4 linked regions of the Saccharomyces cerevisiae S288C genome follow. The gene in region 2 interacts genetically with the main gene of each other region. Each region holds a gene or a part of one and is shown on either strand. Other genes may lie near its edges.

Evidence for each region.
Region 1: mutations in TEC1 (region 2) and SWI5 together harm fitness more than expected from each alone (negative genetic interaction), as found in Saccharomyces cerevisiae (3 studies listed by BioGRID).
Region 3: of TEC1 (region 2) and SFL1, changing one suppresses a phenotype caused by changing the other (phenotypic suppression), as found in Saccharomyces cerevisiae (4 studies listed by BioGRID).
Region 4: mutations in TEC1 (region 2) and STE50 together harm fitness more than expected from each alone (negative genetic interaction), as found in Saccharomyces cerevisiae (2 studies listed by BioGRID).

What each region holds. Positions count from the first base shown.
Region 1 is NC_001136.10:746,318-752,348, reverse strand, and holds SWI5 (DNA-binding transcription factor SWI5), read left to right. Parts: upstream 1-1,606; coding exon 1,607-3,736; downstream 3,737-6,031. Other genes in the region: bifunctional choline kinase/ethanolamine kinase EKI1, read right to left, coding at 1-718; TAF12 (Taf12p), read right to left, coding at 3,992-5,611. UniProt on the Saccharomyces cerevisiae protein: Determines the mother-cell-specific transcription of the HO endonuclease gene that is responsible for the initiation of mating-type switching in yeast. Recognizes a specific sequence in the promoter of the HO gene.
Region 2 is NC_001134.8:407,107-412,676, forward strand, and holds TEC1 (Tec1p), read left to right. Parts: upstream 1-2,062; coding exon 2,063-3,523; downstream 3,524-5,570. Other genes in the region: E2 ubiquitin-conjugating protein UBC4, read right to left, coding at 17-63; trifunctional formate-tetrahydrofolate ligase/methenyltetrahydrofolate cyclohydrolase/methylenetetrahydrofolate dehydrogenase MIS1, read left to right, coding at 3,948-5,570. UniProt on the Saccharomyces cerevisiae protein: TEC1 is involved in the activation of TY1 and TY1-mediated gene expression. It is not involved in mating or sporulation processes.
Region 3 is NC_001147.6:583,308-589,788, forward strand, and holds SFL1 (Sfl1p), read left to right. Parts: upstream 1-3,673; coding exon 3,674-5,974; downstream 5,975-6,481. Other genes in the region: SIA1 (Sia1p), read right to left, coding at 1-374; RUP1 (Rup1p), read right to left, coding at 1,002-3,017. UniProt on the Saccharomyces cerevisiae protein: Involved in cell surface assembly and regulation of the gene related to flocculation (asexual cell aggregation). Mutations in SFL1 causes constitutive cell aggregation.
Region 4 is NC_001135.5:60,173-65,479, forward strand, and holds STE50 (Ste50p), read left to right. Parts: upstream 1-3,268; coding exon 3,269-4,309; downstream 4,310-5,307. Other genes in the region: GFD2 (Gfd2p), read left to right, coding at 1-554; dithiol glutaredoxin GRX1, read right to left, coding at 669-1,001; LSB5 (Lsb5p), read left to right, coding at 1,486-2,550; MXR2 (peptide-methionine (R)-S-oxide reductase), read right to left, coding at 2,604-3,110; RRP7 (Rrp7p), read right to left, coding at 4,503-5,307.

The sequences.
Region 1 (6,031 bases), on a different chromosome or scaffold from region 2:
TTAATGGAACAGTACAATGCAACTCTTTCAATTTTTTAGCAATTTTTATTGAAGTATCCCGATCTATAAAGTCGGCTTGAGTAGATGTCCTCGAACCCTCAATGTATTTTTCAAATCTGCCATTTTCAAAAAACCCTTCTAGTTTGGGTCCTAAATCATAAAATGATAATCTCGCAATAACCTTTAATTCATACTCTCTATCAATTACAGAATCTATGCTATCACCAAAAATTCTCATCAGTAAAGGGGGTAAGTTTGGATAGTGAATCTTATAAATAACATTTGTAAGGGCCCCCTTGATTTGTGTCAAAGTTAATAAATTCTTATTCAACGAGGATTCTTTAGAGCCGGGCACAGACCATCCAGGAATCTCCAAGCTTTGTAAAACATTTATGATATCTTGTTTGAAATATTGAGATGGCAAAGACGGGTCTAATTTCGCGTTTACGTATGCCAGTTTGAGAAAATCATTAGCGGTTTGTGAAGTCCATGAGCTTGATGTCATCTCACCGTCTTCATTCGTGCATGTTATTGGCAGTTCATTTTTCAAGTCGACTTCTGAGTGCTCATTAGTATCGATGATGTGGATCACCCTCCTCGTTGGCTTGTCACAATTTGCAGACTGGCGCTTTTTCTTAGACATTTCTGGTGAGGCTGTGCCGACCAAGTAAGTTCGGGGCATTGCGTCACTGCTTGTAAGTGAATAATTGGTGTACATTATGCCAAATTGCAGATCTGTATCTGTTAATTTCTGCTACTACTTTCGTACAAACTATAGCTGCGTACCACAACAATTTAGTAATTTTGTGCCAATCTGTTATCTCAACAACGACATCTATTGTTTTGTAGATTTGCATACACTTTCTTTTGCAAACGACCTCCGGGTAGCCAAAACCCAAACGATATTTTTTTACTATCATCACCGTTTTCACATGCTGTCTAGTGGCCTAACTTATGAAACATAGTCAAACTACTTATAAAACTTCGGCAGTCAGACAGTTCTTTCATTAAATGGTGTCAAGTAGATATTTACGGCATTGGATTCTAGGGCCAATGTTATTTCTGTCTTAAAGGAGAGCGAATCAAATATCGGAGTGTTATTGTTAGATATTCTGAAAGGTAGTATGATTATCTGAAAGCCGATAGGAGTGGTACACTCCGCTCACACCTTGTTAAATATTCATTAGAACATCTCTGTTCCAATTCATAGCAGCATTGTTGGAAATATCTTGGTCTGAATCCCAATCCGGGCAAGTAGAGAGGATGAAATTTTCACTTTCGTACTTTAACCTGTTTAGGAAAAAGGTAAACAATAACAATACCTACCATTAGCGACTAATTATCTTTCTTTCTCCCTATAGATCTGCTCTATAAACAATGATTGAGTACTATAGAGGATCGTCTGCAATTTTATTCACTATTTATGTATTGGCACGGAAGACAAAAAGGCATCGTTGGAAGAAAGATTTGAGAACGACAATATAGATACCACCATATAACTCGTTCTTGGAGCTAGGTAAATAGATCCTGAGAACGTGTTTAACATCTGCGATATAATTAAAGCGCAATCAAATAAAATATTAACGTCATTGTTTTTTCGAAAAAGATGGATACATCAAACTCTTGGTTTGATGCCTCAAAAGTACAAAGCCTAAATTTTGACCTACAAACCAACTCTTATTACTCAAATGCTAGAGGCAGTGACCCTTCGAGTTATGCAATAGAAGGCGAATATAAAACACTAGCAACAGATGATTTAGGCAATATATTGAACCTAAACTATGGTGAAACCAACGAAGTTATAATGAATGAAATAAATGACTTAAACCTTCCGCTGGGACCACTTTCTGATGAAAAATCTGTCAAGGTTTCTACTTTCTCCGAGTTAATAGGAAATGATTGGCAAAGTATGAACTTTGACTTAGAAAATAATTCAAGAGAAGTGACTCTAAATGCAACTAGCTTGTTGAATGAAAATAGATTAAATCAAGACAGTGGTATGACTGTTTATCAAAAAACAATGAGTGATAAGCCCCACGATGAAAAGAAGATTTCCATGGCGGATAATTTATTGTCGACTATAAACAAAAGTGAAATTAATAAAGGCTTCGATAGAAACCTCGGGGAATTACTGTTACAGCAACAACAAGAGTTGCGCGAGCAATTGAGAGCACAACAAGAGGCTAATAAGAAGTTAGAGTTAGAACTCAAACAAACACAATACAAGCAACAACAACTACAGGCTACCTTAGAGAACTCTGATGGTCCACAGTTTTTATCTCCCAAAAGGAAGATCTCTCCTGCTTCAGAAAATGTGGAGGATGTATACGCAAATAGCCTTTCACCAATGATTTCCCCACCAATGTCTAATACTTCGTTCACTGGGTCACCTTCTAGGAGAAACAATAGACAAAAGTACTGCCTGCAGAGAAAAAACTCTAGTGGTACTGTAGGACCACTATGTTTCCAGGAATTGAACGAAGGTTTCAATGACTCCCTCATTTCACCAAAGAAAATTCGCTCGAATCCAAATGAAAACCTCAGTTCAAAAACCAAATTTATTACGCCCTTCACTCCAAAGAGTAGAGTTAGTTCAGCTACGTCCAACTCTGCTAACATTACCCCTAATAACTTAAGGTTAGATTTCAAGATTAATGTTGAAGATCAGGAAAGCGAATATTCAGAGAAACCTTTGGGCCTGGGTATTGAACTTCTTGGAAAACCAGGTCCTTCTCCTACAAAATCAGTGTCTTTAAAGAGTGCTTCTGTGGATATTATGCCTACAATTCCTGGGTCTGTAAATAATACTCCATCAGTCAATAAAGTATCCCTTTCCTCCAGTTATATAGACCAATATACACCAAGAGGTAAGCAGTTACACTTTAGCTCTATCAGTGAGAATGCATTGGGTATCAATGCTGCGACACCACATCTAAAGCCGCCGAGCCAGCAAGCACGACATCGGGAAGGCGTTTTCAATGATTTAGACCCTAATGTACTTACGAAAAATACAGACAATGAAGGAGATGATAATGAGGAAAATGAGCCTGAAAGTAGATTTGTTATTTCCGAAACGCCTTCTCCCGTTCTTAAGTCACAAAGTAAGTACGAAGGAAGATCTCCTCAATTCGGCACACACATTAAGGAAATCAACACATATACCACAAATAGTCCCTCAAAAATCACAAGAAAACTCACAACACTGCCCAGAGGTTCAATCGATAAATATGTGAAGGAAATGCCTGATAAAACATTTGAATGTTTATTTCCTGGATGTACAAAAACATTCAAGAGAAGGTATAACATCAGATCTCATATTCAAACACATTTGGAAGATCGGCCATATTCCTGTGATCACCCTGGATGTGATAAGGCATTTGTACGAAATCATGACTTGATAAGACACAAAAAATCGCACCAAGAAAAGGCGTATGCATGTCCCTGTGGTAAGAAATTCAATAGAGAAGACGCTTTGGTTGTGCACAGAAGTAGAATGATTTGCAGCGGTGGTAAAAAGTATGAAAACGTGGTAATTAAAAGGTCTCCAAGAAAAAGAGGAAGACCAAGAAAAGATGGAACTTCAAGTGTTTCTAGTAGTCCAATCAAAGAAAATATTAACAAGGATCATAATGGACAGTTGATGTTCAAGCTTGAAGATCAACTCAGAAGAGAGCGTAGTTATGATGGGAATGGAACGGGGATTATGGTTTCGCCAATGAAAACTAATCAAAGGTAAAAAAAAACATTGATGTTATGGACACTTTTTTTAATATTTAATAATAAAAACAAAATGAAAACAAGGAAAAAAAGTTTTTTTTTTTTTTAATTATGTATAATCTAAGTAAATAATATAGTATGAACACTTTAGATACAAAATATTAATTAATCAATTAATTTTAAAAAATTTCGCTTTATAGATACATATATAACAATGTGAACTATAACTTTAGGAATTTTTTCTGTGGAAGAGTGGAGAATGTGGGTAACATAATTATTTTTTTGTATTCAAGCTTGCAACATTGTTTCCATTGTTTTTTGCAGCTGCTACCTTATCTGATGTGATACTCTGCAATTTCTGGTTATAATTTTGAGAGGGATTCCATTTTCTTGTACTTCTTATTTCGTCTGCGGAATAACCAGGAATCCTAATATTCCAATTTCTCTCCAAATGTAACTGAATGTCTCTTGCCTCCAAATTGTCCGATTTTCTGTGTTTTGCCAATCTACAAGAAAAAGCTGTAACATTAGTAACAAAATCGTCGGCAAGATCCAATAGTAATTCCTCAACATCACCGTCAATGACAGTTTCACCGTCACCCTCATCAATTCCGACAGTCTTCACTAACTCTCTTAATTTACGCTTTGACATAACTCTCTGAGTATCCATTTCATAGGGTGGTAATTTAGTTGTTGCTGGTGTATTCAAAGCACTGGCATTCATAGCAGAACCTCCAGTTATTGTAGGTCTGTTGGATCTATAAGCTACCGGTGCTGGTGTTTTGGTAGATATATTTTCCGATATGGGTATGGCAGGCTCTGTTTGTTTGAATATTGCCGATTTGCTCGAACTTATATTATTCAACATAGATGCCGTTGCATTTACATTGGTTACCTTAGCTTTCGATTGTTCAGTCTGTGAAGTGTTAACATTGCCCCTGGGATTATTGGTGGCAGTTATTGTATTCTGCTGCTGCTGCTGCGATTTCAGTGCATCAGGGCCGGTTACAGAGGGTATTTCAGTAGAATTAGAACTAGAAATCTTTCTTTGGTTTTGACCCTGGCGTTGCTGTTGCTGTTGCTGTTGCTGTTGCTGCTGTTGCTGCTGCTGCTGCTGTTGTTGTTGTTGTTGTTGTACCCTTTGTTGCTGCACTCGTTGCTGTTGAGTGCTTTCTTGCAAGAATTTATGTAAAGCCGGATTGTGTCTTGCACACTCTACATAGAATGTTTTTTTACTGTTTTGATAATTATTGAACAGCTTGGTATACTCAATTTTTAGCACCTTCCAATCGTTAAGCAGTTCAATTTTCTTTTCTTGTAGCTGCTGCTTGGGCCCTTCGTCCGTCTGTTTATTTATTTCTTGTTCTAACCTATCAATATTTTGTTTCAAGTAGGTCTCTTTCTCCTTTATACTCGTATGACGGACTTGGAAATTCTGCCATAGCTTTTCATATTCTTGGTTCTCTTCCGGGGTGAGAACCTGTTTTATCATATTGCTAAATTTGTTACTGTTGTTTCTTGTCTGTTGTTGTTGTTGTTGTTGTTGCTGTGATGAATTAGGGACATTTTCAGTAGGAATAGAAGCTGGATTGCTTGAATTTGAATTTGAAGTATTATTGTAGGCTTGCGCAGCCTGTTGTCTTCTCCTATTCAGTGTAAGGGCATCATATACCTGTTTGATCTTTGCGGCTTGGAACATCAATTCCTTGCCCCTAGGAGTAGTTTCACCTACATTTCTTGCTTCAGTCAGTAATGTCCTGAACTTAGCGGCCATTTCTTGCAACTGTCTCGGTTGCAGTACCATATTTTGCTGAGCTCCTGTGATCGCATCAGCGTTACCAGTGCCCGTATTATTATTCGCATTAACACCAGAATTTTCTGGATTGGAAGACATTGTCGTATTTTATACACACACTGGCAAAGATTCGGTTATGATTCGAATGCTATTGGACAGTCTCCTGTCTTACACTAGCGAACCTATGCGCTATATATGCCCATTATTCATTTGCTCCGACTTAAGTCTAACACATTTTTTAACAAAATTCGCCGCGTATACTGCCCGGGTAATACAGCCAAAATCGTGATATTCATTTGATACGTTTACTTGCAAAGCTGTCATGAATCAAGATTGTACATTTATATACCATAAGGTGCTCTTCATATTCAACAATGCATTTAATTCATCCTCGCTACGCTTACTAGACCCTATTTACTAATTAAGACGGGATTCATACACATCGTTTTGCACGTAGAAAGTTACACGCGTTTTTTTTTTTTTGAAGTTGAAATTTCAGCTACGCATCGAGAAAGTTTA
Region 2 (5,570 bases):
ATAACTTTAGACATACCTTTCTAGATCACTTAGTTCTTTAGCAATACGTTTAGAAGAAGACATGTTTTTTTGGATGCTTGTTTATGTATGTACTCTATAGTCAGTGAAATTTATTTACTTGTGGCGATAGTGATTTTCCTGGCTTCTTTACTTTATTTTTTTTCAGGATAGATTTATTCTCTGGATTATTTATTAAGATGAAAAATAAGAATAAAGAAAAAGAAAGAAGGATGAAGAAAAAAGAAAAATACAGGCCAAGGCCTTTCAAGGTGAGCTGTTGCCAGGTTTTTCCGCAGCGGGAAAAATCTCGCAGACCATGTGACCGCCGGTACTCCTTTTCCTGTTGCTCGGCCATTTGATCCTCGCTTCGAGAAAAACTATAACAATTGATTAGTGCGGAGAGGAGGATAGGCGGTAAGATCAGTTTTGTTTATTGTATAAATGAGATACTTTGGAATAAGGACATTAGCCTTATGTTACATCATTTCTTATCACGTAAGACTACTTATTGTCAAACTTTTTATGAAGTCATAAGGTGGACATATGAATAGTGCAGTTACCCTTGTTCAGGAATGACACCTTGTGCATTCCAGTGAGAAAGGAATGTTGACTAAAACAGTAGCTGTGCTTTTTTTTTTCTTTTTTGCCTTTTTATTCTTAATGTTCAAGAAAACTTTCTTTCCATGGAATGTATGAGGACCCTTTATTTTGAGGAATGGGTTCGAATTTATCATGCAAATTGGCAAGAATTTACTAAGTGGACTATATTTAAAGAGTTGAATTTTACGGTGAAAGTAAATTAACGCTACTTCTGTTGTTTTGGAAAAGCCAAGTTCAAGTTTCTTTTCTTGATTATTTATTCTCGTAACGATTTCGCTTTTCCTCTCTATATATTTTCCTACTCCATTCTGTAAAGAGCTTCCAGAACAAAATATAAATAAATAAAAAAAACTTCTCTTCAGGCAAGAGTACGTTCTTCGCTGGTTTCCTACAGAATCAAAAGAGTACTGCAGCTTATTGTACACACTTACAATATTCAAAACATGTGTGGCCTACTCGGTTCCTGGCAAGGTTAAGCCAAGTGGTGTAGTTACCAGAAAAAAGTGAACACATACAAGATACGATGCGTAAGTACATAAGGTATGACAGCCTGTAACAAATCCACGTTAGATTTATATCTTCTAGGCTGAGAATCTGGCAGGTTTTAGCAAAACATATATAACTTGCTCTCATTAAGCGGGCTCACTGCTTAAGCGATTGTTACCTGGAACTACAGGCAAGTACAATAGCCTCCTCCAGCTTTTGACTCTGAAAAAAAGGTAACGAAAGAAACTTTTCACACAGATAGGAACTATTCTAATATTACAGTAAAGCCAGCTATGGAATAACAGGTGGCATGTGCCCACTGTATTCATGTATGAGCGGCCTTTTTTTTCCACGAAAACAGATATGATGATGTTTTAGGCCAAAATGGTGAGATCCTTTTACAGGAAGATTTTACGCCAACTCTTTCCATTTAGTGACACAGGTGAGGGTCTTTTATCGGCGCAAGGTGTTTCAGATGAGCCATTTTGCCCGTAGTCCGGTTTAATCAGCCTCATTGGAATTCCCCGGCACCGCTCGCATTCCGCGTACGACTCAAAGAATTTCCCATTGAATTCGGGAATGTGCGTGTTTCAGATTGCGTTTGCTTATTATTCTGGGAAACTCTCCGGAAACAAGCTGAGCTGGACTCCACGAATGGTCCCTCACAAGGCTCTTGGCTCATGCACAGTTAAAAAGCACCTGTAGCTACCATCAGCAATCCATGGTGCTGGAGTTTCTCTCGATGGTACGGCCCATAGCTGGAGAAAATAGCTTATTACCAAAAAAGTAATTCCCCCGCAGAGGTATATATTAAGTTTGAAACAAAAGGCTTGCTTAATTTTTTACATATGACAACCCTTTTCTTACTTTTATAAATGTTTATGAAACAGGAGATTCTTCGACTGGTGCCAGATTCCTCCCATATCGACAAGAAGAATAATCCACCTATTTCAACAATTCTGATACCTGTTTAACCATGAGTCTTAAAGAAGACGACTTTGGCAAGGATAATTCTAGAAATATAGAATCATATACTGGTAGAATTTTTGACGTATATATACAAAAAGATTCGTATTCACAGTCGGCCTTGGATGATATGTTTCCAGAAGCCGTAGTTTCAACCGCCGCTTGTGTGAAAAATGAAGCGGAGGATAACATCAATCTCATAGACACGCATCCTCAATTCGAACTGGTAAATACTGGACTGGGTGCTAAATCGGACGATTTGAAATCTCCATCAGCAAAGGCTACGTTCACTGACAAGCAGAGGAAGAATGAAGTACCAAATATATCTGTGAGCAACTACTTTCCCGGACAAAGTAGCGAAACGTCGTCAACAACGGAATCTTGGACTATCGGTTGTGATAAGTGGTCAGAAAAGGTAGAAGAGGCATTCCTTGAGGCACTTAGACTGATAATGAAAAATGGGACCACAAAAATAAAAATAAGAAATGCCAATTTTGGAAGAAACGAGCTGATTTCATTATATATCAAGCACAAAACCAACGAGTTCAGAACCAAAAAGCAAATTTCTTCCCATATTCAAGTCTGGAAGAAGACCATACAAAACAAAATCAAGGACTCGCTGACCCTATCATCAAAGGAGAAGGAGCTTCTACACCTTATCGAACATGGCGCTGAACAAACTACTGAAAACTCAAACCTGTTTTATGACATATTTGAAGAAATTATCGACTCTCTACCTTCAGTCAGTGATTCTGGAAGTTTAACCCCTAAAAACCTCTATGTAAGTAATAATAGCAGTGGATTGTCAGTACATTCAAAACTGCTTACGCCAATCACTGCTTCCAACGAGAAAAAAATTGAAAATTTCATAAAAACTAATGCTGCATCTCAAGCCAAAACCCCCCTCATTTACGCTAAGCACATTTATGAAAACATAGACGGCTACAAGTGCGTTCCGTCAAAGAGGCCTCTTGAACAACTTTCCCCCACGGAACTCCACCAGGGAGATCGCCCCAATAAGGCTAGCTTTTCCAACAAGAAGGCAATCCTGGAGAGTGCAAAAAAAATCGAAATAGAGCAGAGAAAGATAATCAACAAATACCAAAGAATTTCCCGCATACAAGAACATGAAAGTAATCCTGAGTTCAGTTCCAATTCCAATTCCGGTTCAGAGTACGAATCGGAGGAAGAAGTAGTCCCAAGATCAGCCACAGTCACACAACTCCAAAGCAGACCAGTGCCATACTACAAGAATAATGGAATGCCCTACTCACTCTCCAAAGTACGAGGAAGGCCCATGTATCCAAGACCTGCTGAAGATGCTTACAATGCCAATTATATTCAAGGTCTGCCCCAGTACCAAACATCTTATTTTTCGCAGCTGTTATTATCATCACCCCAGCATTACGAACATTCTCCACATCAAAGGAACTTTACGCCATCCAACCAATCGCATGGGAACTTTTATTAAATGTCTACATACATACATACATCTCGTACATAAATACGCATACGTATCTTCGTAGTAAGAACCGTCACAGATATGATTGAGCACGGTACAATTATGTATTAGTCAAACATTACCAGTTCTCGAACAAAACCAAAGCTACTCCTGCAACACTCTTCTATCGCACATGTATGGTTCTTATTGTTTCCCGAGTTCTTTTTTACTGACGCGCCAGAACGAGTAAGAAAGTTCTCTAGCGCCATGCTGAAATTTTTTTCACTTCAACGGACAGCGATTTTTTTTCTTTTTCCTCCGAAATAATGTTGCAGCGGTTCTCGATGCCTCAAGAATTGCAGAAGTAAACCAGCCAATACACATCAAAAAACAACTTTCATTACTGTGATTCTCTCAGTCTGTTCATTTGTCAGATATTTAAGGCTAAAAGGAAATGTTGTCGAGACTATCTTTATTGAGTAACTCGAGGGCGTTCCAACAGGCCAGATGGCGCATTTACCGCTTAAAAGTTTCGCCAACTGTGCATGCTTCTCAATACCATATTCTTTCTGGTAGGAAACTTGCTCAATCTATTCGAGAAAAAGCCAATGATGAGATACAAGCCATTAAGCTTAAGCATCCTAATTTCAAGCCTACCTTGAAAATCATTCAAGTCGGGGCCAGACCAGACTCATCTACGTACGTGAGGATGAAATTGAAAGCTTCAAAGGACAGCAATGTAGACTGTATCATAGAGAAGTTACCAGCAGAAATCACTGAAGTTGAGCTTTTGAAGAAAATTAGTGACATCAATGATGATGACTCTATCCATGGGTTGCTAATTCAACTACCTCTACCGCGTCACTTGGATGAAACCACGATTACAAACGCTGTGGACTTTAAAAAGGACGTTGATGGGTTCCACAGATATAATGCTGGTGAATTGGCTAAAAAAGGAGGGAAACCATACTTCATACCATGTACTCCTTATGGTTGCATGAAATTACTTGAAGAAGCTCATGTTAAGTTAGATGGTAAGAACGCCGTCGTGTTAGGCAGATCAAGTATCGTCGGAAATCCAATTGCTTCGTTGTTGAAAAATGCGAATGCCACTGTTACTGTCTGTCATAGTCATACAAGGAACATTGCAGAAGTGGTCTCCCAAGCTGATATAGTTATCGCAGCTTGCGGTATTCCTCAATACGTTAAATCAGACTGGATTAAAGAAGGCGCCGTGGTTATTGATGTAGGTATCAACTACGTACCTGATATCAGTAAGAAAAGTGGGCAAAAATTAGTTGGTGATGTTGATTTTGATTCTGTAAAGGAAAAGACATCTTATATTACCCCTGTTCCTGGTGGAGTGGGTCCAATGACTGTCGCTATGCTTGTTTCCAATGTACTATTAGCTGCTAAAAGGCAATTCGTGGAATCTGAAAAGCTTCCAGTTATCAAACCTCTTCCATTACACTTAGAAAGTCCAGTGCCTTCAGATATTGATATATCAAGAGCTCAGAGTCCTAAGCATATCAAGCAAGTTGCCGAGGAGTTGGGAATCCACTCTCACGAATTAGAATTATACGGCCACTATAAGGCAAAAATTTCTCCAAATATTTTTAAAAGATTAGAATCTAGAGAAAACGGTAAGTACGTCCTTGTTGCAGGTATTACTCCGACTCCATTGGGTGAAGGTAAATCCACTACGACTATGGGGTTGGTGCAGGCTTTATCCGCTCATTTAGGGAAACCATCCATCGCGAACGTTAGACAACCATCTCTTGGCCCAACCCTGGGTGTCAAAGGTGGTGCTGCTGGTGGTGGTTATGCCCAAGTTATTCCTATGGACGAGTTCAATTTACATTTGACCGGGGATATTCATGCTATCAGCGCTGCGAACAATCTTCTTGCAGCAGCTATCGACACTAGAATGTTCCATGAAGCCACTCAGAAGAATGATAGTACATTTTACAAGAGACTAGTTCCAAGAAAAAAAGGCATCAGAAAGTTTACCCCATCCATGCAGAGAAGGCTTAAAAGATTGGATATTGAAAAAGAAGACCCTGATGCTTTAACACCT
Region 3 (6,481 bases), on a different chromosome or scaffold from region 2:
TGGAAATCTTTCAGATGAACATATAAGTAACTGTTGTAGAATGGTCCAGACTGAAGTGAATACAATGTCTCTACAGTAATATTCTTAGAAACTCTGGTCCACAGAATGCTGTTTTTGTCTTTGATCTTTTTAGCAGTATTGGAGGGGTGTAATTTCGGGGCATACAAAGAACTACATTGCCTGTACCAATGGTAGCACCGCAGGATTTGAATATCGTCTATCATTCCGCCATGATATTCTGCTACATTATGATCCATTAATACATTTTTTGCATGTAGCTTTAGTGAATCTCTCGATAAATACAATGAAGTAATGCATAATATAAAAAGTATTCTCCTTAAAAAATTAAATCTTCTTCTATAATGTAATCTCATGCAAATATTTGAAGGGTATTGTTTGCGAAGGTCAATGAATGTGATAAGAGCTAATTGTTGGAAAGTAAAATAATCGAAAGGAATGAGAAAAAGGTAAGTTATTTAAATCTCTTTTGGAAATGAAACTAAAGCAACTTGAAAGAAATTTCAAGAAATAATGAAAACCTCGAATTAATCGACAAATGAAGAGTACTGCAGAACCGAAATTGAAAAAAAAGGTCGTAAAGTTGAAATGAATTGAAGTCAGAATTAAAATAGAAGGGGTATTGTTGCGGCTAAAGTAAAATAAAGAAAGGAGAAGTTAGAAAAAGCAACTCAATGATCTTGTGTTCGAGGCTATATTATAATAAGTTTAGGACTTGGCATTATTTCAGATCAAAAGTATAAAAATTAAAACTGTCCTTTATCTGTCAACCTTTTTATTTTTGTTTGATCCTTAGAGTCTAATTTATGTCCGTAAATAGAAGTTTTCGGATTGCGGGCGCAGTTAGCCTCCAAGCGGAGTTTCTATAGTATTGAAAACGTAAACTAGTAACATATATGCGGTTCAAAATTACTAGAGAAAATGAGATCATAGTTTAAAGAGACATACGTTATTTATCTGGCGGAAAGTGTATAGAAATCTATCTAATTATCAGAATCGATGTCATCGTCATTGTCATTATCGTTACCATTGTTAATATTGTTGGTGGCTTGTTCAGGATCTCCCATACCATCGAAAAATTGCGAACGCAATGTTTTTAATGAATTTTGGTCATCCTCAGCAAATTTTAAGCACCCGCTATTGCTTTTCAACGCTTCCGCGACTACTTCTTCCGTGGGAATTTTACCCTCTTCACAGTATATGAACATCAGCGGAGTTTCACTTGCGTACTTCGTGCCATGCTTGATGGCTTCTTGAACGACAGAAGGCGACGAACATTTTTTCACCTTGAATTCTGTTCCCAACGTATTACTTTGTATCCATGACCATGCACCGTTTCTGCTTCTGATAAAGTATGAATATGGCGATAGTGCTGCCATTGTGAGGATGTAGGGATTTTCGATCAGTCCCAATTGCTTTGCAGTGTTGATTATGTGTGTCTCTGGATGTGAAAGGTTCCATTCTCCATGCAGTTTGGACGCCAAGTCCTTATATTCCTCCATTTTAGCGGCTCTCGCAGAATTTAATGTATCTTTCAACGATGCGATCTGCTTTGCTGCTTCATTATTAGCATCGTCAGGAATTGTTTGTAGATACGCCAGCGTCGACTCTAGAATAGTGGATATGTTTTTGCCTTGGTAACTCTTTAACTCGTTGATCTCTTGAAGCAAGCATCTGGATCTGGTCCGCGCTTGCTTTCGTTTAGAAATAATATGTCTTATTAGTTGGTCTTTGCACTGTTTGGTGTAAAGCTGTGGGTAAAACTCAAGCGGTATATCCACGCCATTGGGTAGAGACACTGATTCTGTATTTGTTTCTAGTTCATTGAACAGGATTGTTAATACGGGTGCCACCTCCTTCAAAGTATTCTCCGGTTCCACATATCTCGCCTCTTCTTGCTCGCCACCACGAATCACGTCTTCTTCTTCTTCCTCTTCTTCGGGGTACAATAAAACGTTGAACATTTTATATAGATTAGAATCGTACTCTTCAGGAAGAAAATGAAACAAGGACAAAAACGTCTCCATTGGAGGTTCATTCTTGTTCGGAGTATGCAAAGCAGAAGATATAAAGAGACTTCTTGTTTCCCGGTCTCTGATCCCAGGACACATTTCCAAATCCACTGCCAATGATTTGATAAACGCTGGGAGCACCTCATAAAGATGCTCGGAATCGGCCAGCTTGGACCTCAATTGCGGTTCCAAGGACGACGTAAACACCTTGGCCGAAACAAAGGCTCTTTCACACTTTCGCGTGTTAACCACGGAGATGAGTTTTTGCAACTGCCAGAGCAGATGCGGTTGCAACCCTTCATTAGGTCCGCTGGCCAGCACGATCTCCGACGTAGTGGAACCATCTTCTGCCTCGCAATATGCAAGTCTGTATTTGGGCTCCGTAAACGATGAGCCCTTGAACCAGTCTGCCCTATAGTTCAAATCCTTAAAGTCCGGTTTCAAGAACACGTGTGGGAAATACACGGCCGTGAGCAACGCAAACAGCCCAAAATAGCTCTCAATTAGACTATTCAAGGGTAGCGGCAACACAACCGTAGGATCGCCCACGTTCGACTTGAACTCGTTGTGTTGTACTATACTATAAGAGGGGGGAGGAATGGATGTCTCCGATATAGAATAACGATCGTAGTTCTGAGCAGTAACCCTGCATCCGCTGGTGCTATTAGAACCGCTGCGTTCATCCGTGATGTCTTCATCGTCATCATAATCAACATCGACACCACTCACATCCGGCATATCAATGTCTTGGTCCCCGTTGTTCGGAACATCGCAGGGCTTGGTTCCAGCCACTATTTTGTTCTCAGAAATCCTAGGCTGACTGCCATCATTCTCCTCACCCATTTCCGCTTGCTCCGGCAGCTCGTTCGAAAAGATGAAGTTAACTGCTGCCTCCAAATTACCGCCAGTTCTTTGGAGGGCGTCCACAGCTACTTCGTGTGGAATACCCATTTCTAGCAGTGACTTTACAGCCTGATTATCCATCATCGTAGCTTACTTAACAAAAATCAATTACTTAAGATTCCTTTTACAGGTGACGACTCTCCTTTTCCGGCTTCTTCTCTTCTTTCCTCTACTCCGACAGGTCCTTAAGCCTTGTAGTGAGAAGTACCTTTCAACAATAGTATCTTTTACTTCCGTGCCGGGTCGCCCGGACATCACCCGCCCGGCACAGATGCCTTGGCAGCAAGCGCATCCATCGCTGCATCTCCGCCGGAAAAACAGATGTTCAGTACATGAAAAGACGTTTTTATTCGACATAAACTTTTTCAGCTAGCAAGAAGGATCTCTTTTTAAACACTCTATACAGGTGCACACAAAGGGTTGTTGAAACAGAAACACAAACGCACGGCGAAATAATATTATTTATTCGACTTACGAATTTTTCAAAGAAGTCGTACTGGTGTGAAGTGGAAAGTTTCAAAGATAGTTTGAAAAGCAGGGAAAAAAGAACATAGTGAACCTTCATCGCCACAGTGACAGGTTCAAGGAAAAAATTCACACACACACACATACGCATACGCACACAAAGCACTCAGCTCTATATACATAACAAAGAATATTGTAATTCGACACTATTTGGTACATTCAGAGGGTCCTAAGACAGCACAAATCAGTTATATAGAAAAAAAGAAGAAAAAATCATGAGTGAAGAGGAAACGGTCTCAGCCCCAGCTCCAGCTTCTACACCGGCCCCGGCTGGAACCGATGTAGGTAGTGGTGGAGCAGCAGCTGGAATAGCTAATGCTGGTGCTGAAGGCGGCGACGGTGCCGAGGATGTTAAGAAACATGGGTCGAAGATGCTAGTGGGGCCCAGGCCGCCACAAAATGCGATATTCATCCATAAGCTATACCAGATTCTGGAGGACGAATCGCTACACGACTTGATATGGTGGACCCCTTCGGGCTTATCCTTCATGATTAAGCCTGTGGAACGGTTTAGTAAGGCTTTGGCTACATATTTCAAGCATACTAATATCACGAGCTTTGTAAGACAGTTGAACATTTACGGCTTTCACAAGGTGTCGCATGATCATAGCAGCAACGACGCTAATAGTGGCGACGACGCCAATACTAATGATGACAGCAATACTCACGATGATAATAGTGGCAACAAAAACAGTAGTGGCGACGAAAATACCGGTGGCGGTGTCCAAGAAAAGGAGAAAAGTAACCCCACTAAAATCTGGGAATTTAAGCATAGTTCTGGTATTTTCAAGAAAGGTGACATTGAGGGACTCAAACACATTAAGAGAAGAGCTTCTTCCCGTAATAACTCCTCAATTAACAGTCGAAAGAATTCTAGTAATCAAAACTACGATATAGATTCCGGTGCAAGAGTAAGACCCTCTTCGATTCAAGACCCGTCCACCAGTTCCAATTCCTTTGGTAATTTCGTTCCGCAAATTCCGGGCGCCAATAACTCTATCCCCGAGTACTTTAATAACTCTCATGTAACTTACGAAAACGCAAACCATGCCCCGCTGGAATCCAATAACCCGGAAATGCAAGAGCAAAACAGACCTCCGAACTTTCAAGATGAAACACTGAAACATTTGAAAGAAATAAATTTTGATATGGTTAAGATTATAGAGTCTATGCAGCATTTCATATCTTTGCAACACAGTTTTTGTTCACAGAGTTTCACCTTCAAGAATGTGAGCAAGAAAAAATCGGAAAATATCGTGAAGGATCACCAAAAGCAACTTCAGGCATTCGAAAGCGATATGTTAACTTTCAAACAGCACGTCATGTCGAGGGCCCACCGTACAATAGATTCTCTTTGTGCTGTAAATGCTGCCGCTACCGCTGCCTCTGTCGCCCCTGCACCCGCGCCCACATCCACATCTGCATATGCACCCAAATCTCAGTATGAGATGATGGTTCCTCCAGGGAACCAGTATGTCCCGCAGAAATCTTCCTCGACCACGAACATCCCTTCGAGATTCAACACGGCTTCAGTGCCGCCCTCGCAACTTTTTGTACAATACCAACCGCAGTCGCAACAACATGTGACTTATGCGAAGCAACCGGCACATGTACCAAACTTTATCAATCAGCCGATACCCATCCAACAACTACCTCCACAATATGCAGACACTTTTAGCACTCCACAAATGATGCACAATCCTTTTGCCTCGAAAAATAACAACAAACCGGGCAACACGAAGAGGACCAATAGTGTTCTCATGGACCCGCTGACTCCCGCAGCGAGTGTTGGAGTTCAGGGTCCACTAAACTATCCTATCATGAATATTAATCCTTCTGTCCGTGACTACAACAAGCCTGTCCCTCAAAATATGGCTCCGAGTCCAATATATCCTATTAATGAACCAACAACGAGATTGTATTCTCAACCAAAAATGAGAAGTCTCGGGTCTACAAGCTCTTTGCCCAACGATAGAAGAAACAGTCCTCTGAAGCTGACACCGAGATCATCGTTGAATGAAGATAGTCTGTATCCCAAACCTAGAAACTCTCTCAAATCCAGTATTTCGGGCACGTCTTTATCCTCCTCTTTTACACTAGTTGCCAACAATCCAGCCCCAATTCGGTACTCTCAGCAGGGATTGCTTCGCTCATTAAACAAAGCTGCTAATTGTGCTCCAGATTCGGTAACTCCATTAGACTCGTCTGTCTTGACGGGCCCTCCTCCAAAAAACATGGACAATCTTCCTGCTGTTTCTTCAAATTTAATAAACTCCCCCATGAACGTCGAGCACAGCTCAAGCCTATCACAAGCAGAACCTGCACCACAAATAGAACTACCGCAGCCATCTTTGCCCACAACGAGCACCACTAAGAATACTGGCGAGGCTGACAATAGTAAGAGAAAAGGGAGCGGTGTTTATTCTTTACTGAATCAAGAGGATAGCAGCACGTCCAGTGCTGATCCTAAAACTGAAGATAAGGCCGCTCCGGCACTCAAAAAGGTTAAGATGTGATCTTTGCCTTTTTAATCTCTAGTTGTCTAAAAGTTCAAAGCACCTCACTGTATGTTTATTACCTTTGTTCCAATTACTTTTGTTTCAATTACTTTTGTTTCATTTCATTTTAGGTATCCCAACGGGTAATCATTGTTATTTATTTTATTCACTTTTTTTTCTTTTCCTCCTGATCCTTGTGATTATAACTATATTTTTACCAACTCCGGTAGTTGTTTTATTAAGTTTTCATCACACTAAATTGTATTTTCCACTTTCATTTCCACCTTCCTTTCCCCTACCTCCCTTCAATTCGTATCATAATACCGCCCGTTCTTTCTAGTATATCACAGAATAGCTACGGGGTATTGTCTCATAAACAGAAAAATGCACCTTTCGATAAACTTCCTGTACAATAATTCTATAAGTATATATGTATGTTTGCTATTAAACAACCATCACAAAAAGACACCTTATTCTTTATGGACGCCTTCAAGTTGTGCTCCTATTCTGTAGTTGTTGCACCAT
Region 4 (5,307 bases), on a different chromosome or scaffold from region 2:
TTGTTGGTCATCACGTGAGCGGGGATCTTAAGTGGCTGGAGACTATTGGTGTCAAATTCCCTGGCAGAGGGTATGAAGGCCATCTGGACCATACGCTGCTTTTGGCTGAAACTCCCGGTGATCTAGACGTGTTCATCTTGGACACTGAGCAGTTTTACAGGAAATCGTATGGCGAAAAGGGCAGCAGTCTGGGCAAGATTCTGCGGTTGTTCGAGATACCGCATGCGTTTCTACACAATGCCGGTAACGATGCCTACTATACCCTGCATTTGTTCATGAAGTTTTGCGATGTTAATTTCAGGAAAATAAGCGGCATGGACGATGTTCTTAAAGTAATGGGCCAAGTAAAAGTTTGGGGAGAACGAGACGTACGAGAGCCTAAAGTGGTGCCCATGTCGTATGCCATCTCCATCGAGGAGGCAGTCAAAAATCGGACGTACCGCAAGGGCGTCAAGAGCAGTAGGAAGGAAAGAGTCTGCCAAACGGAATTCGGTGGGTTAACGTATTTCGGAACTGCTAAAGACGCCTTCACAAGCACTCTTCCGACACACTAAATATATTCATCGATTTTTTTCCTGTAAATACAAACACATGCTTGTATACATATACATATACATATATATAAGCTCATTATAAACCTGTGTGCATGGAAAAAACTTTGTCTGCCCTTAATTTGCAAGAATAGGTTCTAACAATTCCTCCAATTCACCAGTCTCCCTCAATTCCTGCAAGTCGTCGTTGCCTCCAATATGTTTACCATTAATATAGATGTTTGGCACGGTTCTTTGGCCATTAATCTCATATAACGCAGCCTGAATGTCTGCGCCTTCCTTCATGTCATTCAATTGCAAAACCAGAACTTTGGACCTGGGAACCTTTAACTTTTCAAAAAGCGTGTTTAGGGCTGCATGGCAGTATGGACAGTACGTTTTGGATGCGACGAAGATCTCGTTTTCTGCAATAAGGTCCTTGACGTGCTTGATAGTTTCTTGAGATACCATTTTTTTTCCTTCTGAGGTTTTGTCTATTTGTATAATTATGCGAATGCTCGTATAAGTACTGCACGAAGTTCTTTATTTTATGCTAAAGTCCCTTTTTATATTATATAAACTTTTCATTTATTTTATATATTTACTCCTTTCAAGACAAAATTCCCACATCACGTGAATCAGGAGGCGCAAGGGGGGTAGTAAGGCAGTAGTAGATAAAGAAAACAAGCATCGCAATCTGGAAACGCCGTTGCGGCTGCTCGTTATCTGTAGACAGCTCACTTGTGCATGAAGTTCATGTTTTATAGATGATGGAGCCATACTTCAAGGTGATAACTATGAAACTGTTTTGACCTTGACGTGTAAAGTGATCAAGGTAATAGTTAAACTTTATATATGTTGTTTATCAATGTGGTATCCTTTCTAAGGATGAAGACAACACGATTGTGACAGTGTGAGAGAGTGATAAAGCATTGGAGGCAGGCAAAACAAGAACATGGGGTTTCTTTCGGATCATCCGCATACAGCTATCACCGAGACGATCTTTCGAATTGTCTCTTCAAGGGACTATACGCTAGAAGTGGAGTTAGCTCCCTTGATTCAGCTTATCAAAGCAGATCACAACGATTATAACTATACCGTGAACCAAGAAGAAGCTGCGCGAGCACTTAGAAAGAAAATAAAGTATGGGAACCGGCTGCAGCAGTCCAGGACTCTGGACCTCTTGGATCTGTTCATCTCACAAGGCGTGAAGTTTACAGTCATGTACAATGATGACAAGCTGCTGCAAAGGCTGAGAGGGATGGCTACGAACTCTGAAAACAGCGGGTCCGGTGAAAAGTATGAGCCTAGGATTATTAAGAAGTGCGCGGCGTATGCTATCTCGTGGCTAAACTATATTACGCAGAACAACCTTGAGAATGCGAGGGCGTATTCAGGTCTTTATCAATTGGGTCAAACAGTCAAACAGAGGTACTCGAAGAGCAGCCGTTCCCGCCGTAGCGGCGGAGGCTCTGGCGGACGGTCTAACTTCATGGATGATAGCGCCGACGACACTTTGTACCAGTCCAACTCGCTGACTAGTGCCGATAGATTGTATAGGATTCCACAGATCAACATGAACAAAGAGGCACCCAGGATTCGGCTCATAATCAGCGATGCTCTCGCGTCTGCTGTGTCGTTACAGAACTCGCTGATCGGGCTGCCCAAGGGCAAGTTCTCCACAGACGATGAAGAGGCCACGTCCAAGTTCATCCAGGCAAGGGCGATCAGAAGGAAAGTTCTTAGATATCTGCAATTGGTCACGGAGGGTGAGTTTCTGGGTAGCTTAATTCATGCCAATGATGAACTGGTGGCTGCGTTGACTGCATACGACGACCGAAGCGCTCAGGACGATAGCAGCGATGAAAGTGATCACGGCTCGTACGATGACGGTATTTATGATGAAAACGAGCAGGATAACAGCAGGTATATTGATAGCGAGTCCTCAGAGGAAGAGAGCTTGTCTTCTTATCAGCCGTCCACGATCTCAAACCCTTTCGGTGATCATAACAAAATTTGAAGAAGTATGTACGTATGCATACACACATATATATATATATATATATAGTACATTTAATCCTTCTTGAGGTTTAAAGACGCACTGTTCACACAGTGTCTGGTGTCCTTGGGCAAGTTTAGCAACTGTTTCCAGCCTTCACCTTCAAACACATGTCCCAAGTGTCCACCACACCTTGCACAACATATCTCCACCCTCGCAGGCATTAAAGAATTGTCACGATGATATGTGATGGCTCCAGGGGATACCTCTTCGTAGAATGCGGGCCATCCACAACGAGCGTCGAACTTGGCCTTGCTCGAATACAACGGTCTGTCGCAGTTGGCACAATGGTAGACACCGGACTCGTTGGTGTGTAAATACGCACCGGTGTTGGGCCTTTCAGTGGCCTTATCTCTCAGCACCATCAGCTGCAATGGTGTCAGGGCATCGTTCCACTTCACGTCATTCGATTCGTCACTCATTTTCTTGCTCTTATTCCAGTACTGCGTCAGTACAATGTTTCTTCTCCCTGGAAAAGTCCTGCGTACAGTTATAACGTACAGCCTGCTCCACTTATTCATTTTTTGATATTGCTTCCTTTCTCCCTTTATTTAAACTATCATCGGCGACATATTTCCCAATAGGCAAAGCTGAAAAATACTATCGCTAATTATAACAAAGAAGCTAGGTCGAAGGACTCGAAAAGACAGAGGTCGTACTAGCAGAGATAGCAAATCAGATGGAGGACGGTAAACAGGCCATCAATGAGGGATCAAACGATGCTTCGCCGGATCTGGACGTGAATGGCACAATATTGATGAATAATGAAGACTTTTCCCAGTGGTCGGTTGATGATGTGATAACTTGGTGTATATCCACGCTGGAGGTGGAAGAAACCGATCCATTATGTCAGAGACTGCGAGAAAATGATATTGTAGGAGATCTTTTGCCGGAATTGTGCTTGCAAGATTGCCAGGACTTGTGTGACGGTGATTTGAATAAGGCCATAAAATTCAAGATACTGATCAATAAGATGAGAGACAGCAAGTTGGAGTGGAAGGACGACAAGACTCAAGAGGACATGATAACGGTACTGAAAAACTTGTACACTACTACATCTGCGAAATTGCAAGAATTTCAATCGCAGTACACAAGGCTGAGGATGGATGTCTTGGACGTAATGAAGACCAGCTCAAGCTCTTCTCCGATTAACACACATGGAGTGTCCACTACGGTACCTTCTTCAAACAACACAATTATACCCAGTAGTGACGGTGTGTCTCTTTCACAAACAGACTATTTCGACACAGTTCATAACCGACAATCACCGTCAAGGAGAGAATCCCCGGTAACGGTATTTAGGCAACCCAGTCTTTCCCACTCAAAATCTTTGCACAAGGATAGCAAAAACAAAGTACCCCAAATATCTACAAACCAATCTCACCCATCTGCCGTTTCAACAGCGAACACACCGGGGCCATCACCTAACGAGGCGTTAAAACAGTTGCGTGCATCTAAAGAAGACTCCTGCGAACGGATCTTGAAAAACGCAATGAAAAGACATAACTTAGCAGATCAGGATTGGAGACAATATGTCTTGGTCATTTGCTATGGGGATCAAGAGAGGCTGTTAGAATTGAACGAAAAGCCTGTGATCATATTCAAGAACTTAAAGCAACAGGGTTTGCACCCCGCCATTATGTTAAGAAGAAGAGGTGATTTCGAAGAAGTAGCAATGATGAACGGAAGTGACAATGTCACCCCCGGTGGAAGACTCTAATGTGCAGTTGTCATGCACATCATCATACTAAACTTACACGAATAGGATAACATGTATGCTAGCAGAATATATATGAAAGAAAAAAATTATTGATGCCTTTAAACTTATACTATTATACTATATTATGTTATATTATATTATTAGTTTTATAGATATATTGAGATATGTTGAATATGATGACGAGGATGGTGGTTTAAGTGTATGGATTGAATTTTCTCTTAGCTTTCATTACCTTGATTCTTTCTTGATCTTCCTTAAATTTACTTAACAGTTGATTGATCTCCTGTTTTTTACGTTCTCTGACCTGAAATCTATAGAAATCTTTCTTTGCCTTTTTATCTATATTTGAAATTGGCTTGGCCTTATTTTCATGTTTGGATAATGGATTTTTGTTTAATATTTTCTTTCTTATGGAATTCAATGACTTGGTGTTCTTTCCTACAACTAATGTGAATCCATCCTCATCCACTATAGAACTTTGAACATCCTCTTGTGCTTGAGCTTCACGCTGTTCAAAAATTGCCATATGTGTATGAATATCTTCTTTCAAATAATCAATATCCAGTGGTTTGTAGAAGTTAACAAAAGTTGTGAATGATGGAGTCGTATATGTCCATTCAAATAGTTCATTTGGATGTTTGGCATGCAAATTCGAGTATTTTTTCAAAGCATTCCAGCAGTTATTTATACTTGCAGCATCAACAAATTTTAATAGCGCCGTGTTTCTTGGTGTGTATCTCTTCTCGTTGACGTCAGTGGAGGACATCAGATCGGAGGTCAATGCCGATAAATCTACTTCATGTAATCCAAATTCATCGTTATATAGTAGTTCCTCTACATGCGATACTGTATCGTATTTCCCACAGAGCTGCCCGACAAATTTCTTCATGTGCTCTATGTTAGATAATAATGGAAGGTTGACCAAAAACAAACAGTCAGACTCGTTGGAATTTGAACTCTGGTGTCTTTTAGCAAACATGAAATGCAACGAAGCTTCC